Linked DNA regions of Arabidopsis thaliana. The protein of the gene in region 1 interacts with the protein of each later gene in a pairwise test. Each region holds a gene or a part of one and is shown in the gene's direction. Other genes may lie near its edges.

Region 1 (6,144 bases):
GATGCTTGGTTGATGGGAAATGGCAATGAACAAGAACCATTGGAGTTTGGTGTGGATGAAACGTTTGATATTAATGAGCTATTGGGTATATTAAACGACAACAATGTGTCTGGTCAAGAGACAATGCAGTATCAAGTGGATAGACACCCAAATTTCAGTTACCAAACGCAGTTTCCAAATTCTAACTTGCTCGGGAGCCTCAACCCTATGGAGATTGCTCAACCAGGAGTTGATTATGGATGTCCTTATGTGCAGCCCAGTGATATGGAGAACTATGGTATTGATTTAGACCATCGCAGGTTCAATGATCTTGACATACAGGACTTGGATTTTGGAGGAGACAAAGATGTTCATGGATCTACATAAGATTTCAAATTTCGTTTGACTGGCCTAAGTTTGTGATTCTGCTCCGAGACGGTGTAGCTGTTACTAGCTAGAAGCTGCCCTTCTTTGAAGCTACTGATACTTTCTGATATTAATGGTTGTGAGACGTAGTACATGTAGTTAGGTAATGTAGGACAAGTTCAAATATGATTCCTTCTTTCTTTTTCTTGTGAATACATATGACATATGAAGAAGTTCAAACGTTGGGTTTAGAAAAAGTTTATAACATTCGGTACATATCAAAGTTTTGAACTTCGGATGCATATAAGCTATAAAGTTTTGATCTTTGAACTTTGGATACTCTCACATCTAATTTTCATCCTTAAGAATGGAGATGGAATAATGCGATGTTGCGTAGTGGTTTTATTGACTTGGCAAGTTTTGATTATTCAAGAAACTTGGCTTAGTTTAATGGAAATATCCAGTAGTGGAGTTTTTTGGTCTGCAGACTTTCCTCAGGTTGTCTGAGATTACATAAGCAATGAGGTATGAATAATAAAGTTATCATTAGAGAGTTATCTATCTGTATTTTCTACAAAAGGCAAATTGGGTATTTGAAAGTGCAAATGGGACATAGTTGTATATTATTTAAAAGGCTTTAACTATTCCATTCTGGTCTCCAAAATCGTTTTTCTTGCTCGAATCTTGAAGATCTTCTAAGCCTTTAGAAAAATGAAGAAATCAAGTTGGCAAACTGTTAATTAATTAAATCCAATGAATTGGTGGGTATTGCACCTCCACAAGTTCCCTTTGACAATGTGTCCTCTTCTCCGCAAGAATGAGATGCAACTATTTTGGACAATTTCTCCTTTTAATTACTTTTTGATCGATAATCTTCTCTTAATATCACGTTGTAATCTGATTCATTCAAATATCTATCGAAATTTAAGCTTATCTTTGATTTTTTCGATACTTATTTTTGAAATTTTAAGTGCATTTTGTTTATAATCATAGTTGGGGATTTAATAATTTTAGGTGGAATAATATTTTATGCATATTGGAGATTTATTTCTCGAGAAATATTCACAAACAAACAAACAACCGGCTTTTGCACAAAAATAATAATGACATGGAGTCGAGTTGTTTATACTAATGTTTGTCACTATCTCACCATTGGAATTTAAATCTTGGATATATAATACATGTTTTGACAAAAAAAAAAGTTGGCACAAATTATGTTGTTGTAACAAAATACGTCTGATGCATTGATTTGAGATTGACTCTTTGAACCCAAAAATGTATCACCGTAATATTAATACATTTTCCACATCAACTTGTAATCTATTTGTGTTCAGTAATATATTGGTGAGTGATTATGTCACCTAACCCGAAAGCTTATAAGATGAGCAATCTTTATATCGAGGATGGTGCAAAAAATAGCAAATTGTAACTTTTTGTCCTTCTTATTCTATAAAATGTCAGATATAATTAGTACTGCAAATTGCTCGCTTATTCGTATTAATCTTAACAACTAGGGCTACTTGGGAATATGTATAGTTGTTGGAAAAACTAATGCATTAGATAACCCTTTATTATTTTTCCCAATTGTGTTTTGTTATTATGCCCACCACTCAAATCCAAGAGTCCAATATATTCATATGATTTGAATATACGTTTGTGGAAGAAAACACACCCAAGAAATATTGTCCAATTCGTAAATTTCCCTGACTTTACGTTGGTTACTTTTAGCAAACTGCTTAGTTTGATTTTCTTCTAATTCGTCTTATTAATATTCTGTTCTTTTCTTTGTTGAAAAGGAATTTGATTAATACTTTTTTTAGTATCGTCGAAAGGCTCAAGTTGATTACAAGATGAGGAAAGATTATTATGATGGACCCATGACATGATATCTTCACCAACTTGGAACATTGAAAGTCCTATGGAGTTATTTTTGAAATTTTTACCTTAGTCAGAAGGTTCCAACAAAATTAAAAATCCACCAAAAACGCATCCAAGAATAGTACCAACTGAAAATAGATCGGCAATCACAAAGACAAAGGTCGGTCCTCCCAACCAATTTGTTTCAAGAATTTTTTCAAACCTATGCATAAATTAAGTATAGCTCTTAACCAATATATATAGCTTAACCAACTCGACACATAGTGATCATGTTCTTATAATCTTTAATAACGTTTTAGAGTTAGCTATATATATAGCCTCGAGACAGTAGAAGATTGAAATATCTATGCAAAACCTCAAAGATAATGTTCAATGTTTTTATATTCTGAATATTGATATAATCGGTGAGATAGAGATGAGTTCAGAATTTTTTTCTCGGTATCTTAAATGATATTGATTTCATTTTCTCAACTTTCATTCAAGAGTGTTTTTGGTTAAAACATAAAAACGTCCATTCTAATTATAGTAATGCTTGTGTGGTTACGACAACATGCTCATTCATTGTAATAAACTGGTGAAATATATAGCACCATTGACAAATAGACAGCCTCAGTAACAAAGCAAGGAAAAACAAAATTAAAATTTAATAACCGGTTATATTAAATATCGAGAACCAGTCCGTAGAATTTCATGGGAAACCGGGCCGGTCCTTGATATAAAGAAAGAGAGAGACGTTTCTTAACTGAAGCAGTACACAAACTCCAAACAAATCCCAAGTGGACAACCGAAGAACCCACACAAACTAACTCTCTTTCCTAATCCACATACTTGCATTTTTATATATAAACACTCTGTCCTTATATAGTTCTGTATATTACATGTAAATATCTCTCATTAATACAACCTCACGAAGAAAACCATTTGTTTTCTTAGAGAGAGCCAAGAATATTAAAAGAGATATAGAGAAAAGATTTGCTTTAATAATGCCAACGTCGATACAGTTTCAGAGATCCTCCACCGCCGCAGAAGCAGCCAACGCCACCGTAAGAAACTATCCCCACCACCATCAGAAACAGGTTCAAAAAGTGAGCCTCACGCGCGGGATGGCTGATGTGCCGGAGCACGTGGAGCTTTCCCACACGCACGTGGTTGGTCCTTCTCAGTGCTTCTCCGTCGTGGTACAAGACGTGGAGGCTCCGGTTTCCACAGTCTGGTCGATCCTAAGCCGCTTCGAACACCCTCAAGCGTACAAACACTTCGTGAAAAGCTGCCACGTGGTTATCGGAGACGGTCGAGAGGTTGGGTCGGTGAGAGAGGTCAGAGTCGTCTCTGGTCTCCCCGCGGCGTTTAGCTTAGAGCGGCTTGAGATCATGGACGATGATCGCCACGTCATCAGTTTCAGCGTCGTTGGTGGGGACCACAGACTCATGAACTACAAGTCGGTGACGACGGTGCATGAGTCGGAGGAGGACTCCGACGGCAAGAAGAGGACACGTGTCGTTGAGTCATACGTCGTTGACGTACCGGCGGGTAACGATAAGGAAGAGACTTGTAGCTTTGCTGATACTATAGTACGGTGCAACTTGCAATCGCTGGCTAAACTCGCCGAGAACACTTCTAAATTCTCGTAATTACATTTTTTCAATCTTTTTATTTTTATTTTATTTTCTATATTTCTCTCTTTCAAAATTTATCTTTTATTTTTGGGATTCTCGAGGTGGTTTTGGATTTTAAGATTTAAGTATTTAACTATCGTCGGGGATTTTTCGAAACTAAAACAAAAAACAAGAATTATATCAAACAAGATGGTTTTGGTTTTTCGAAGTTAGGGTTTTTAGGGTCTGTTAAATGTATGTCTCAACGATACTTTGGTTTTACCCTTAAAACCATTTCTTCTTGTACAGCTCTCGTAGCTTTATTATATAAACATTGATTGTTTAGTTATTTTCATAATCTTCTTCTTGCGCCGTATTTTACATATTTATTATTTGTCTTTTAATTTAGTTAATCATGAAACAATATAGACTATATAGTGATTCAGCTATAATGCATGGGGTATATTGTTACGATATTTCCGATATTATTATGTCTAATTTCATTAATTTTGATAACCTACATAATAATGTATTACACAAACAATTTGATTAATATAATCATTGGCATATCTACTATATATGAAGAGATCTGAACAATTGTGGGCAATCAGAAAACCCATACATGTGCTGATTGAGATGATTCGTTTTCCTTTATGTTAAGAGAAGAACAAAGTAAAACTATACATCATTTGAATTTTATTGAAATGTATAAACAGTAGAATACTACTTGGTGTTTTAAATGAATTTGCTCACCAGCTATATAATCAAAGCGTTCAATCCTAAAAGCAAAGATGGAATAATATCAATTAGTGATAATTAAACTTGAACCAAGGCGTAATGCATGTATTGAGTTATGTGATATAATCTTAAGAATTTTCTTTATGGCATATATAATGCTAGGCCAAAATAAATGGTGTCAGGTAATACAGCATTATATCTTTAATTCCCTAATTTGGAAACGTAAAATTTTCAAATTATTTGTCATTTCATCAACAAACTTTACATAAATACGTAAATGTTTTGTTTTTACTCACCAAAAAAATAAATCAAAATTATTTACATACCAAAATGATAAAATTTCTTAGTTCCTTTTATAGTTTTGGGATGCGTGAACCGTTTCAATAATTCAAATGTCAAAATTATTACTTTTTCGGATTTCCTTGTCCTATATATTAGTTCATGAATAAAAATGTACATTTGAAAAATCAAATAACTTTATCTAGTTATATAAATATAAAGAATCCAATGAACAAGATGAAAAGACATTCAAAGTTTGCAAAAGCAAAATGTGTTTAGTTACTTTATAATTAAGTAGTAAGATTTCGAGACTTGTGAACCAAATTCAAAATTGAATACATATATAGACATTCATGTATATGATCGTACGTAAAATGCAAGTTGGGGTGTAATAAAATCCAACTTGTTATAGAAAAAAAACAAAGCATGCAAGTTGCAAAGGAAAAAAAAAAAAGTCGCTACTATTCTTTGACACCTTTAAAAAATATTCCATAAATAAAAAAAAGGTTAAAGAAAAATCAAATTGATTACATAAATGATTATTAATTTATTATCATAATGAGTACGAAATATATATGTAAACATTGTCGTGGAAGGAAGGAATTGCAAGTTGATATGCAAGTTGGCAAGGAGGCTATTAATGTTTTCCCTCTTTTGGTCGTTTGTATAATGACATTTAAACCCACCCACCTTTCTTATTTTCTTTTCTGTCTTCCTATTTCTGATCACTATTATTATATTACTTATATTTTATTTCACATTTTTTTTAATTTTATAAACCCATAAGAAATTTTTTTCCCTTTTATTTACATATGAAAACATATGTATTCCCGTGTCAAAAAAATGAAAATTCTGACCAATCCAGAGAGATACGATTTATGGGGTTTGTATATTCCAATGTGGCATGTTGCATATAAACTACTACTATTTAACTAGTTTCTTAATAATTCAAATCCAAATAAACATGCATAAAAGATTGTGATAACGTACATAGCTGTGATATAATATGCATTACTTTTAAAAAGCAACGGAGATAGTTCGTATTTTCATATAGTCTTTAGCTGGGCTATCTAACACTTTAACTAATTAGAATAAGATATAAAGTTTGCTATAAAATGTAAATAGATGATTTATCCAATATATACATATGAGTGTGTCTGAAAAAGGCAAACCAAATTCAATGTAACGTGAAGAACACCGCCTCCTTCCTTAAAGTTTATTGGGGATAGATATTTTCGTCCATGATTTTAACTTCTACGATTTTAGGTTTGGAAGCATTTCGGTGTGAGTGGTGTGTAATGTTGAAAAC
Region 2 (4,866 bases), on another chromosome or scaffold:
CTTGAATCTTCCACTGGTCCAGGTATGATTAACCTCGTACCTACCGACAATCCGATTTCATTACACGCGTTGGAAATCAACCGAACACAAACAGATTCGGAAGAAACATATAGCTTTAGCTCTAGTGTCGAATACAAAGGCCTAGATCATGTAGATTCACTAGGGTTGGTAGCAACAGGGAACAGATCAAGATGCTTGATAAATTGGTTGGTAAGTGCTCTCTACAAACTCAAACATTCAACAACTAGTCGTCTAGTTAAAATCTACGGTCCGAAAGTTAATTTCAATCGAGGACCAGCGGTTGCGTTCAATCTATTCAACCATAAAGGCGAAAAAATCGAACCTTTTATCGTGCAGAAGTTAGCCGAATGCAGCAACATCTCACTCGGTAAAAGTTTCTTGAAGAACATCTTGTTCCAAGAAGACTACGAAGGCGTGAAAGATAGAGTTTTTGAGAAGAAAAGAAACAGAGACGTCGACGAACCAAGGATCTCTGTTCTCACTGCTGCGTTAGGGTTTCTTGCTAATTTCGAAGATGTTTATAAACTTTGGATATTCGTTGCTCGGTTTTTGGATTCAGAGTTTGTTGATAAAGAGAGTGTGAGATGTGGAGTTCATGTTTTTGAACATAAGAACCGTGAAGTAGTCTAGTTAACATATAGCCTAGTTTTGGCTCGGTTTGCTTTGGTTCACTTCTTACATCAGAACCGGTTCAAGTATCAATGAAAATTTTGATTTTTGTTCAGTACAAAGTCAGCGTCAACATTAGCGTCCAAGTAGCACCTCTATCTCCCACTAATTTTGATTTTGCTACTGATTCAAAAAAAAATAATTAACTTTCGAAAAAAGGTAGCTCATATATATTTATTTACAATTCGCTCATTCCTAGATGTCAAGTAGATATGAACGGGGCAAATGAATGCCCAATAACTAAAATAAACCCATATCAGCTATATATTTCTTCGGTTGTTAAAAATTTTGATTTTATAAAATTTATTGCACAAATGATTTTCTAGATGTTATTTTTATTTTTATTTTTAGTATGATAAATACTAAATTTCAAAATGCAATGATTGAAAATAATTAAACTTTTAATTTTATTAGCTCATAATTAAACTTAAAAATATTTAATATAAAAAATGTTAATGATTAGATAATGTTTTTTTTTTAATATGTGAAAAAATCCCAAACATCAATCTATTATAAAAATATGGAATAATACTTTTATTTAATCTATTTTTTTAGTAGTCAACATCAAAAGATTATTACAAATGACCAATGTTGATAATTTTAACTTATAAATATAGTATTAAATAATGAATAGTGAATTGTTTTCTTTTTGGCGGGTGAAACCTTATTTCCAAGCTTCATACTCTAGTCTTCGAGAGTCATGCTTAGTAATTGACATTTTTTGTTGCCATCATTTCTTATAAAGCTTACCCTAAGCTTGCAAGAATATTTACCGAGTAGTTTGGAATCTTGGTGTTGTAAATCATGCACTATTTGTTTTACTACGCAGTTCCAATCTTCTCGTGGGGACCAAAGTTTTTCAACCTTGTATACAACAAAATCAACAAGGGATTAGGTACACCAAATTGGTTTTTACGAAAACAGTAACATGCTATCAAAATAGAGACTAGTCGTTTTGGTGATAGAATTCAGACCAAGACAATAATGGTTTTACTTGTCAATAATACTCAGAAATGAACATAAGCTGCACTTGTCAATAGTACTCAGTTTTGAGATAGCTAAGTTTTGTATTGCCCTAGTTATGGCTCGGTTTTGTCCAATTCGGTTGGTTTGGTTCACTTCTTAAATGGAAACCGGTTCAACTGTACAACTATCAATAAAAAAAAAAAAATTAGCTCCACAACATGACTCTTGTGATGTGGTCGAGGCCAAGGCCCATTAGTTAGCTAAAACAGGCCCATATGAAGTATGTGATCTAGACCGTTGATTTGTAATGGGACTATATAAAAATAAAAACGATGATCTTGAGGGCCCCTTCTTCCATCTTTGTAGGGTTCTTCGTGCAGAGGATAAGGTTAGCTGTGGTTTTTTAATTTTATTTTTCTACCTTTGTAGGGTTTCCTCACTTTTTTTTATCCACTGTTCTTTAGTTTTCAATCTGTCAAATTCAAACAGATAACATTTTTCGTCAAAAGAATCAGTAAAAACTAAACATTTTGACTATATCCTACTTGAATCAATTCTTCGGCTGATTTTGAAGTTTTGTGACATTCAGATATTCTAGGGTTTTGTGGTAAATGGAATCGAATCACGAAGGCAACGCGATACAAGTGATTGACCAAGTAACAACCATGACCCATCTGTCTGACCCGAATCCGAAAACCAAACCGGGTATGATGCTCATGAAACAAGAAGACGGGTATTTGCAGCCGGTGAAGACTAAACCGGCTCCGAAGAGACCGACTTCTAAAGACCGTCACACGAAAGTAGAAGGACGAGGTCGGAGGATCCGAATGCCGGCGGGTTGCGCTGCTCGGGTCTTTCAATTGACCCGTGAACTTGGTCACAAATCCGACGGAGAAACGATACGGTGGTTATTGGAACGAGCTGAACCGGCGATAATTGAAGCAACCGGAACCGGAACTGTACCGGCTATTGCTGTATCGGTTAACGGAACTTTAAAAATCCCGACGAGCTCTCCAGTGTTGAATGACGGCGGCCGTGACGGTGACGGTGACCTAATAAAGAAACGGAGGAAGAGAAACTGTACGAGCGATTTCGTAGACGTTAATGACAGCTGTCATAGCTCCGTTACTTCTGGGTTAGCTCCGATAACGGCGTCAAACTACGGCGTTAATATCCTGAACGTTAATACACAGGGGTTTGTGCCGTTTTGGCCTATGGGTATGGGTACTGCGTTTGTTACTGGTGGGCCGGATCAAATGGGCCAAATGTGGGCTATTCCTACCGTTGCTACAGCTCCGTTTCTGAATGTTGGTGCTAGACCGGTGTCTAGTTATGTCTCAAACGCTTCAGACGCTGAGGCGGAGATGGAAACGAGCGGTGGCGGAACGACGCAACCGCTGAGGGATTTTTCGTTGGAGATTTATGATAAGAGAGAGCTTCAGTTTTTGGGTGGCTCAGGGAACTCATCTCCGTCTTCATGTCATGAGACTTAAGGAATTTTAACTCTTAGTTCTAGTTTCTTTTTAGTTTTTAGTAAGTTTGATTCCTGATTTAGGTTAAGTAAGATTTGTAAAAGAATTGGGAGCACAATTTCAATTTTATGTTTCTGTCAAACATTTTGGTAATTAATGGAACTATCCTATCATTTTTAAAAAATAAATCAAAATGAGATTAAAAATGAGTCTGCTAAAACGCCAGAGGTTGAGTCTGCTAAAGCTCTCGACACAATAGTAGAAGGAATAATGTATAGGCACGTTAAACCTAGATTCTCGTGGAAGCTACAAAGCTGGATCGGAGTTGGGATGGAGAAGAAGATGATAGAAGCTGGTGCCATTTTTGATCGAGTGTGTGGGAAATACATATCAGCCAGGAGAGAAGAGGTAAAAAGATCACAAGTGAATAATAATGATCATTTCATTAGAGATAGTCATGCAAATCTTTTGACATCTCACATAAAGCTTGATACAACCCAGTACCAGCTCTTGGATCCTATCAATGATAAATTCTTAAGAGACAATGTCTTTGCTTTACTTCTAGCTGGGAGAGATACCACTGCCTCTGCTCTCACTTGGTTCTTTTGGTTTTTGTCCGAAAACCCTCTAGTGGTGACCAAGATTCGCCAAGAGATTGACATGAATCTACCAAGAAGTTGTAGTGGCCAAGAGAGACCATCTTGTGATCCAATGGAGTACTTAAACAAAGATGTACTTAAACAAGATTTTGGTCTTTATTTATGGGGTGGTGGGTAGGATGAGAGCTGTATGGGGAGAAGATGCATTAGAATTCAAGCCAGAGAGATGGATTTCCGAGACCGGAGAGTTAGCATTCAATGCCGGTCGAGAATATGCCATGGTAAACAAAGAGCTATGGTTCAAATGAAGATTGTGGCGGTGGAGATATTACAAAACTATGACATCAAGGTTGCCAACGGGCAGAAGTTTGAGCCAGATACTAGTTTAATTCTTAAAATGAAGCATGGCTTTAAGGTTAAGATTAACAAGAGATGTTCATCTTGATATTAGTGAAATAATCAAGTTCTTTTTTAAGTTCTATTTCGAAACCATAGCCTAATTAAGAGTATTAATAAGGAGACAAGTTTAAGTGTGATCTACCTTGAGGTTTAGTTTTTATTGTAGACAAATTATAGTAATGGTTTTTTAATGATTTCAATGACAGTTTAGAAGAATGTAACTCTCGATCCAAGAATGATAATTCATGAGTTAGTAAACTGATGAAATCAAAAAAGAAATGTTGTTTCAATTATTATACTGTACCATTTTTATTTCTACGAATTACGAAACCATTTCTTCTCTACCGAAACTAAAGTAAACTAAACCGTAACAAAAAATTTTGTTTCTTTGTTTTCAACCGTATCCAAATTATGTATCCAGTTTTTTTTGTTTTTTTTTTTTTTTTTTTTCTCATTGTTGACAAAATAAGTAATTTTCTAATTTAAAATTTTCTTCAAAAAAATTTATTATAATATCCGTAACTACAATGCAAATAGTGCCGTACACGTGAGAAGCAAAACAAAAAAGATGCAGAAAAAAAAATAGTACCACAAAATCCTTCACCAACCGTACTGCGAAGCCAAGGCAATTGAAACCAAACACTGATAGGCATAACTCAACAGTAGTTACCCTTTTTTGACCATCTTCTCGTTTAATTCTCTTCTTTATTCATTTTCAATCTTACTCTATCCACACACAC
Region 3 (4,544 bases), on another chromosome or scaffold:
CCTCCTCACGCGTCCGTGACTACGACCCTTTTGCCTTTATCTCCAAACGCAAACGCCGCGTCCACGGCGGTTATGACAACGAAGAAGATGCGGTGGAGGCAGCGGTCAAGAAAGTTTTTGAGTTGTTAGGAGAGAATGATAAGAAGACGGTGGCGACAGAATCGGCCAGAGAGTCGCCGCTGATAATGTCCCCGGCAGTGAGACAGCTCAGGGTGACGGATTCGCCGTTCCCGTTAGACGACGGTGGAGATCACGATCATGTGGTGGACAAAGCCGCAGAGGAGTTTATAAAGAAGTTTTATAAGAACCTTAAGCTGCAAAAGAAGATGACTAACGCATTAGAGTCGCCGTACCACGATGGATGGGTTAGATGATCCAAGCGTTTAGAGACCATCGCAAATTTAATCACTAGCGTTGGATCAACAGAACAAATAAGGGGACAATTGAGAATACATGTATAAATAATGGGGTTACAACTTTTCTTAGATATATGTTCCATTTGAGTGTTGAATACTTAAATTTGGCTTGTGTTTATTTCGTCGGTAGTTTTGATGTAAACATGGCTATGTATATATTTTCCTATCTTAATGAGAAGAATACTATATACACTAGGTGAATTTATTGATGATGAATTTATCAAATCAAAAAGTAGAGAAATGAATAAGATAAAATATCGCTCTCATTCTCTCAAGTTGTTCATCGACCAACCATAACGTTTCGTGCAATTTAATTCCGATCATATATATGGAGAATTGCAGGCACAGATAATTATTACGACATTATTCAACAATACGTCTTCCTCAAGTATTTAAACACGCACAACGTCTTTACTCGTACATCCAAAGACGTAGTCATTTTTTATATATACTGTAGTAGTCTAAAATTATTTTGGTGATCATTCGAGTATTTTGTTAGTCCAATGTTTATTTGACATACTAGTCAAGTCATGCTCTCGTAGTTAACACAAACACCAAAAGTTTCTGGGCTTCACCTTCACAACACTCGGCTTTACCTTCTCAACCACAGTCTTTACCGCCAATCGCTCATTTCCAGGCTGCTCTTCTATTTCTATAATTCTTCGTGTGAGCTTCTCCACTGAATCACCAACGACCACTTCAGTGCAAGTTGATTCTTGGGGTTGTTCCACTGCTTTGGATGGTATACATATAAGTATACAACATGCAACAACAACAACAAGCATTATAAAATAGAGAAAAGTATCTTAAAGCATAGATCATGAAAAAGATGATAGAGAAATATTCTTACAATGTTGAGGTTGTGTTTTAGGACAATTCTCGAGAACCCACAAATATCTCAAGACAATGGAGACAGAGAGAACAACTACGATGATCCATATACGTGATATAATCCATTCCCAAACCAAATACTGGATCAAATCCCAAACCCAAACCAAATACTGGATCAAATCCCAAACCAAATTCTGGATCAAATCCCAAACCCAAACCATGTCTTTCTTTTTCTTCTAAATTTTCTCAAAACATGAAAGGTTATAAAACATCTATCATTTATTTTCTCATGCTTGCCTTGTTAAATGCCCATTGATTATCTATCTTCTTCACCACTAGCACGCTTGAGCCTAATAAACCAAGTTTAACCGAACCAAATCAATTTTCTAAACCAGGATTACAAACCCGACGTCGTTAAAGTACTTTGACGAAAAACACCTCCGAAGAAACTCAAAATTACGATGGTATACCACTCAACTTTCGATAACTACTAGAATCCATCAATCACCACAGGAAACAATGCCACTTCTCCTCCGTCGATTTCCCTCTCCCTCCGTCGTCTCCTCCTTCTTCCTCCGTCGCTCAATGGCTTCCTCAACAATCTCCTCGGATATAATCACTCCATCAAACACCAAAATCGGATGGATCGGAACCGGAGTCATGGGCCGATCAATGTGTGGACACTTAATCAAAGCCGGTTACACAGTCACCGTCTTCAATCGAACCATCTCCAAAGCTCAAACTCTCATCGACATGGGTGCTAACGTCGCCGACTCACCAAACTCAGTCGCTGAACAATCCGACGTCGTTTTCACCATCGTTGGTTATCCTTCCGATGTCCGTCACGTCCTTCTCGATCCAAAGTCCGGAGCTTTATCTGGTCTCCGTCAAGGAGGTGTTCTCGTTGATATGACTACTTCTGAGCCTTCTTTAGCAGAGGAGATAGCTAAAGCTGCTTCCTTTAAGAATTGTTTCTCAATAGACGCTCCTGTCTCAGGTGGAGATTTAGGAGCTAAGAATGGGAAGCTATCTATATTCGCCGGAGGTGATGAAACCACCGTGAAACGTTTAGATCCGTTGTTTTCGTTAATGGGTAAAGTCAACTTCATGGGAACAAGTGGGAAAGGTCAATTTGCGAAATTGGCTAATCAGATAACTATTGCTTCGACTATGTTAGGACTTGTGGAAGGTTTGATTTATGCTCATAAAGCTGGACTTGATGTTAAGAAGTTTCTTGAAGCGATTTCTACTGGTGCTGCTGGTTCTAAGTCTATAGATTTGTATGGAGATAGGATTCTGAAGAGGGATTTTGATCCTGGTTTTTATGTGAATCATTTTGTGAAAGATTTAGGGATTTGTTTGAATGAATGTCAGAGGATGGGTTTGGCTTTGCCTGGTTTAGCTCTTGCTCAACAGCTTTACTTGTCTCTTAAGGCTCATGGTGAAGGTGATCTTGGTACTCAAGCTCTTCTCTTGGCTCTTGAACGTCTCAACAATGTCTCTGTTCAATCATCTGACTCTTGATTTAGGTTCTGTTCCACTTTCTGATAATGCATCTGTTGGAGATTTTATGTTGTTATGAAGTAAAGATTTGATCTTTTGTGTACCCATTTGTTGGTAAAACATGATTTGAAGTAAACTTTTGTGTACGCATATGAGATTCATACACAGTAGTTTTATGTGTACTCAATGATGAGGAAAAATGAAATCTTTATATACTCAGAACTCCAGTGAAGTGAGCTTTGAATTTGTAGTTTTTACAACATATCTGGTTATAATAAAATCCCAGAATCTGAAGAACTGAGTCTTTTATTTTTGAAGAACATGAAAACAAATATTTCTCCCAAGGAAACTTATTTGCTACAAAGAAAGTCTTGGGGAAGAGTAAAAACATGGAATGCTTTCTTTTATGACGCCTTAGAACTTGGCTTAGGCGTTTTCTGATAGCGAAAAGCTTTCAGTAAATTACCGAAAAATGGCGCTCTTTGGGTAGGTTTTAAGAGTCTTCAAGGTAGAGAGAGTGAGAAGCAGCAAGAAGCGCAGCTCCAATGCCTGATCCATCATTGGAGTGAGTGACTTCAACGCTTCCTGAAGCTTCATCTCCAAGCAACTCTTTTAGTGAGCTCTCCATACACTCACTAAACTGAGTGTAATGCTCAAACAATCCACCATCCATGGCTATAACCGATTTCTGCACCTCCTCGTCTTTAGTAGTATCTCTTCCCAGTTTCTTCAGAATACCATAGATTCCAGCAGCAGAGAGACGAGCTCCTCGGGTTGCTATGATGTTGCAGAGACTGATCACAACTTTTCTCATTTTCAGAGAAGTTGTAGGGACCTCCAATATATCCTTAATCTTGCTCCCAACAATCTTCAAGTCTGGAGAAGTGTCGTTGTGCATAGCCGACATGTGAGGAGTCCTGCAAATGATTGTTGAACTTTAGACTAAAGCCCTTCCTCAAAGGATGAAACTTAGTAAAGAGTACCTAATGATGAATGGTATTCTCAGCTTAGATGGGACTGTATCGCCAAAGAAAGCAGCATCTTCAGCCATCTTTAGAAGAACTCTTCGCAAAATCTCTCCCAAGTACATACCGGAAATGATTTTCTCAAGAATCTGCAAAATGAAATTCCACATAGAAACTCATTCTCGAGACACCTCGTAGGTATTGGCATTTTGTAACAACAAACCGGGGTTTAAAAACTCGTACCTGTTCGCCTGGATTCAGACTCTCGAAATCCAGCGTGTGATCAAACTCGGTTAATGGAAGATGTGATGACCTGAAGTTTCCCCATTCCATGTTTATAACCATTTCTCCTGATTTTGGAAGCAGACCATGCCATTTAGGGATCGCGGTTGCACGCTCAACATAGGCTGCGTTTGTCCCAGTGCCTAAAATAACAGCAGCAACAACATCCGGGTTATAGTATCTACCACCGGCTAGTGTTCCAACGGTATCATTAACCTGTAAAACGTCAAAAACAAATCAACAAACACATGACAAAAGGGATTCACTAGAGAGCATAAGGCGAAAGAGAACTCACAAGTGCTGCGATTCGCATGTCAAGACCAACTCTTTCCAGAGCCTTATTAAGTGCTCCAACAACATCTTGTCCAACCTATGCAACAGGTTAAACAAAGATTAAGGCAAAGGCGAAAACTAAACATTTTAAGTGAAATAGTTGAACGAAAATCGAGCTTAACTGCTTCTTCGATGGAAAAGCCTTTTGTCCATTTGATGAGACTACCAGAGGACAGAGAAGTCTGCTTAACAGGAAACGAGAAAGTGAAACCTA

The links. The genes of interacting proteins can lie anywhere in the genome.
Region 2: the proteins of PYL6 (region 1) and AT5G51910 interact in binary tests that used the Arabidopsis thaliana proteins (3 or more experiments, as listed by UniProt).
Region 3: the proteins of PYL6 (region 1) and AT4G29120 interact in binary tests that used the Arabidopsis thaliana proteins (3 or more experiments, as listed by UniProt).

Annotation. Positions count from the first base shown.
Region 1 is NC_003071.7:16,842,887-16,849,030, reverse strand, and holds PYL6 (PYR1-like 6), read left to right. Parts: upstream 1-2,836; 5' UTR 2,837-3,206; coding exon 3,207-3,854; 3' UTR 3,855-4,443; downstream 4,444-6,144. Other genes in the region: DREB2C (Integrase-type DNA-binding superfamily protein), read left to right, coding at 1-366. UniProt on the Arabidopsis thaliana protein: Receptor for abscisic acid (ABA) required for ABA-mediated responses such as stomatal closure and germination inhibition.
Region 2 is NC_003076.8:21,092,987-21,097,852, reverse strand, and holds AT5G51910 (TCP family transcription factor), read left to right. Parts: upstream 1-1,961; 5' UTR 1,962-2,044; intron 2,045-2,150; exon of another isoform or gene 2,151-2,245; 5' UTR 2,246-2,267; coding exon 2,268-3,149; 3' UTR 3,150-3,287; downstream 3,288-4,866. Other genes in the region: AT5G51920 (Pyridoxal phosphate (PLP)-dependent transferases superfamily protein), read left to right, coding at 1-651; AT5G51900 (Cytochrome P450 family protein), read left to right, coding at 3,399-3,860, 3,906-4,172.
Region 3 is NC_003075.7:14,349,095-14,353,638, forward strand, and holds AT4G29120 (6-phosphogluconate dehydrogenase family protein), read left to right. Parts: upstream 1-1,763; 5' UTR 1,764-1,766; coding exon 1,767-2,771; 3' UTR 2,772-2,965; downstream 2,966-4,544. Other genes in the region: AT4G29110 (cotton fiber protein), read left to right, coding at 1-374; HXK1 (hexokinase 1), read right to left, coding at 3,244-3,667, 3,734-3,864, 3,959-4,213, 4,293-4,367, 4,453-4,544.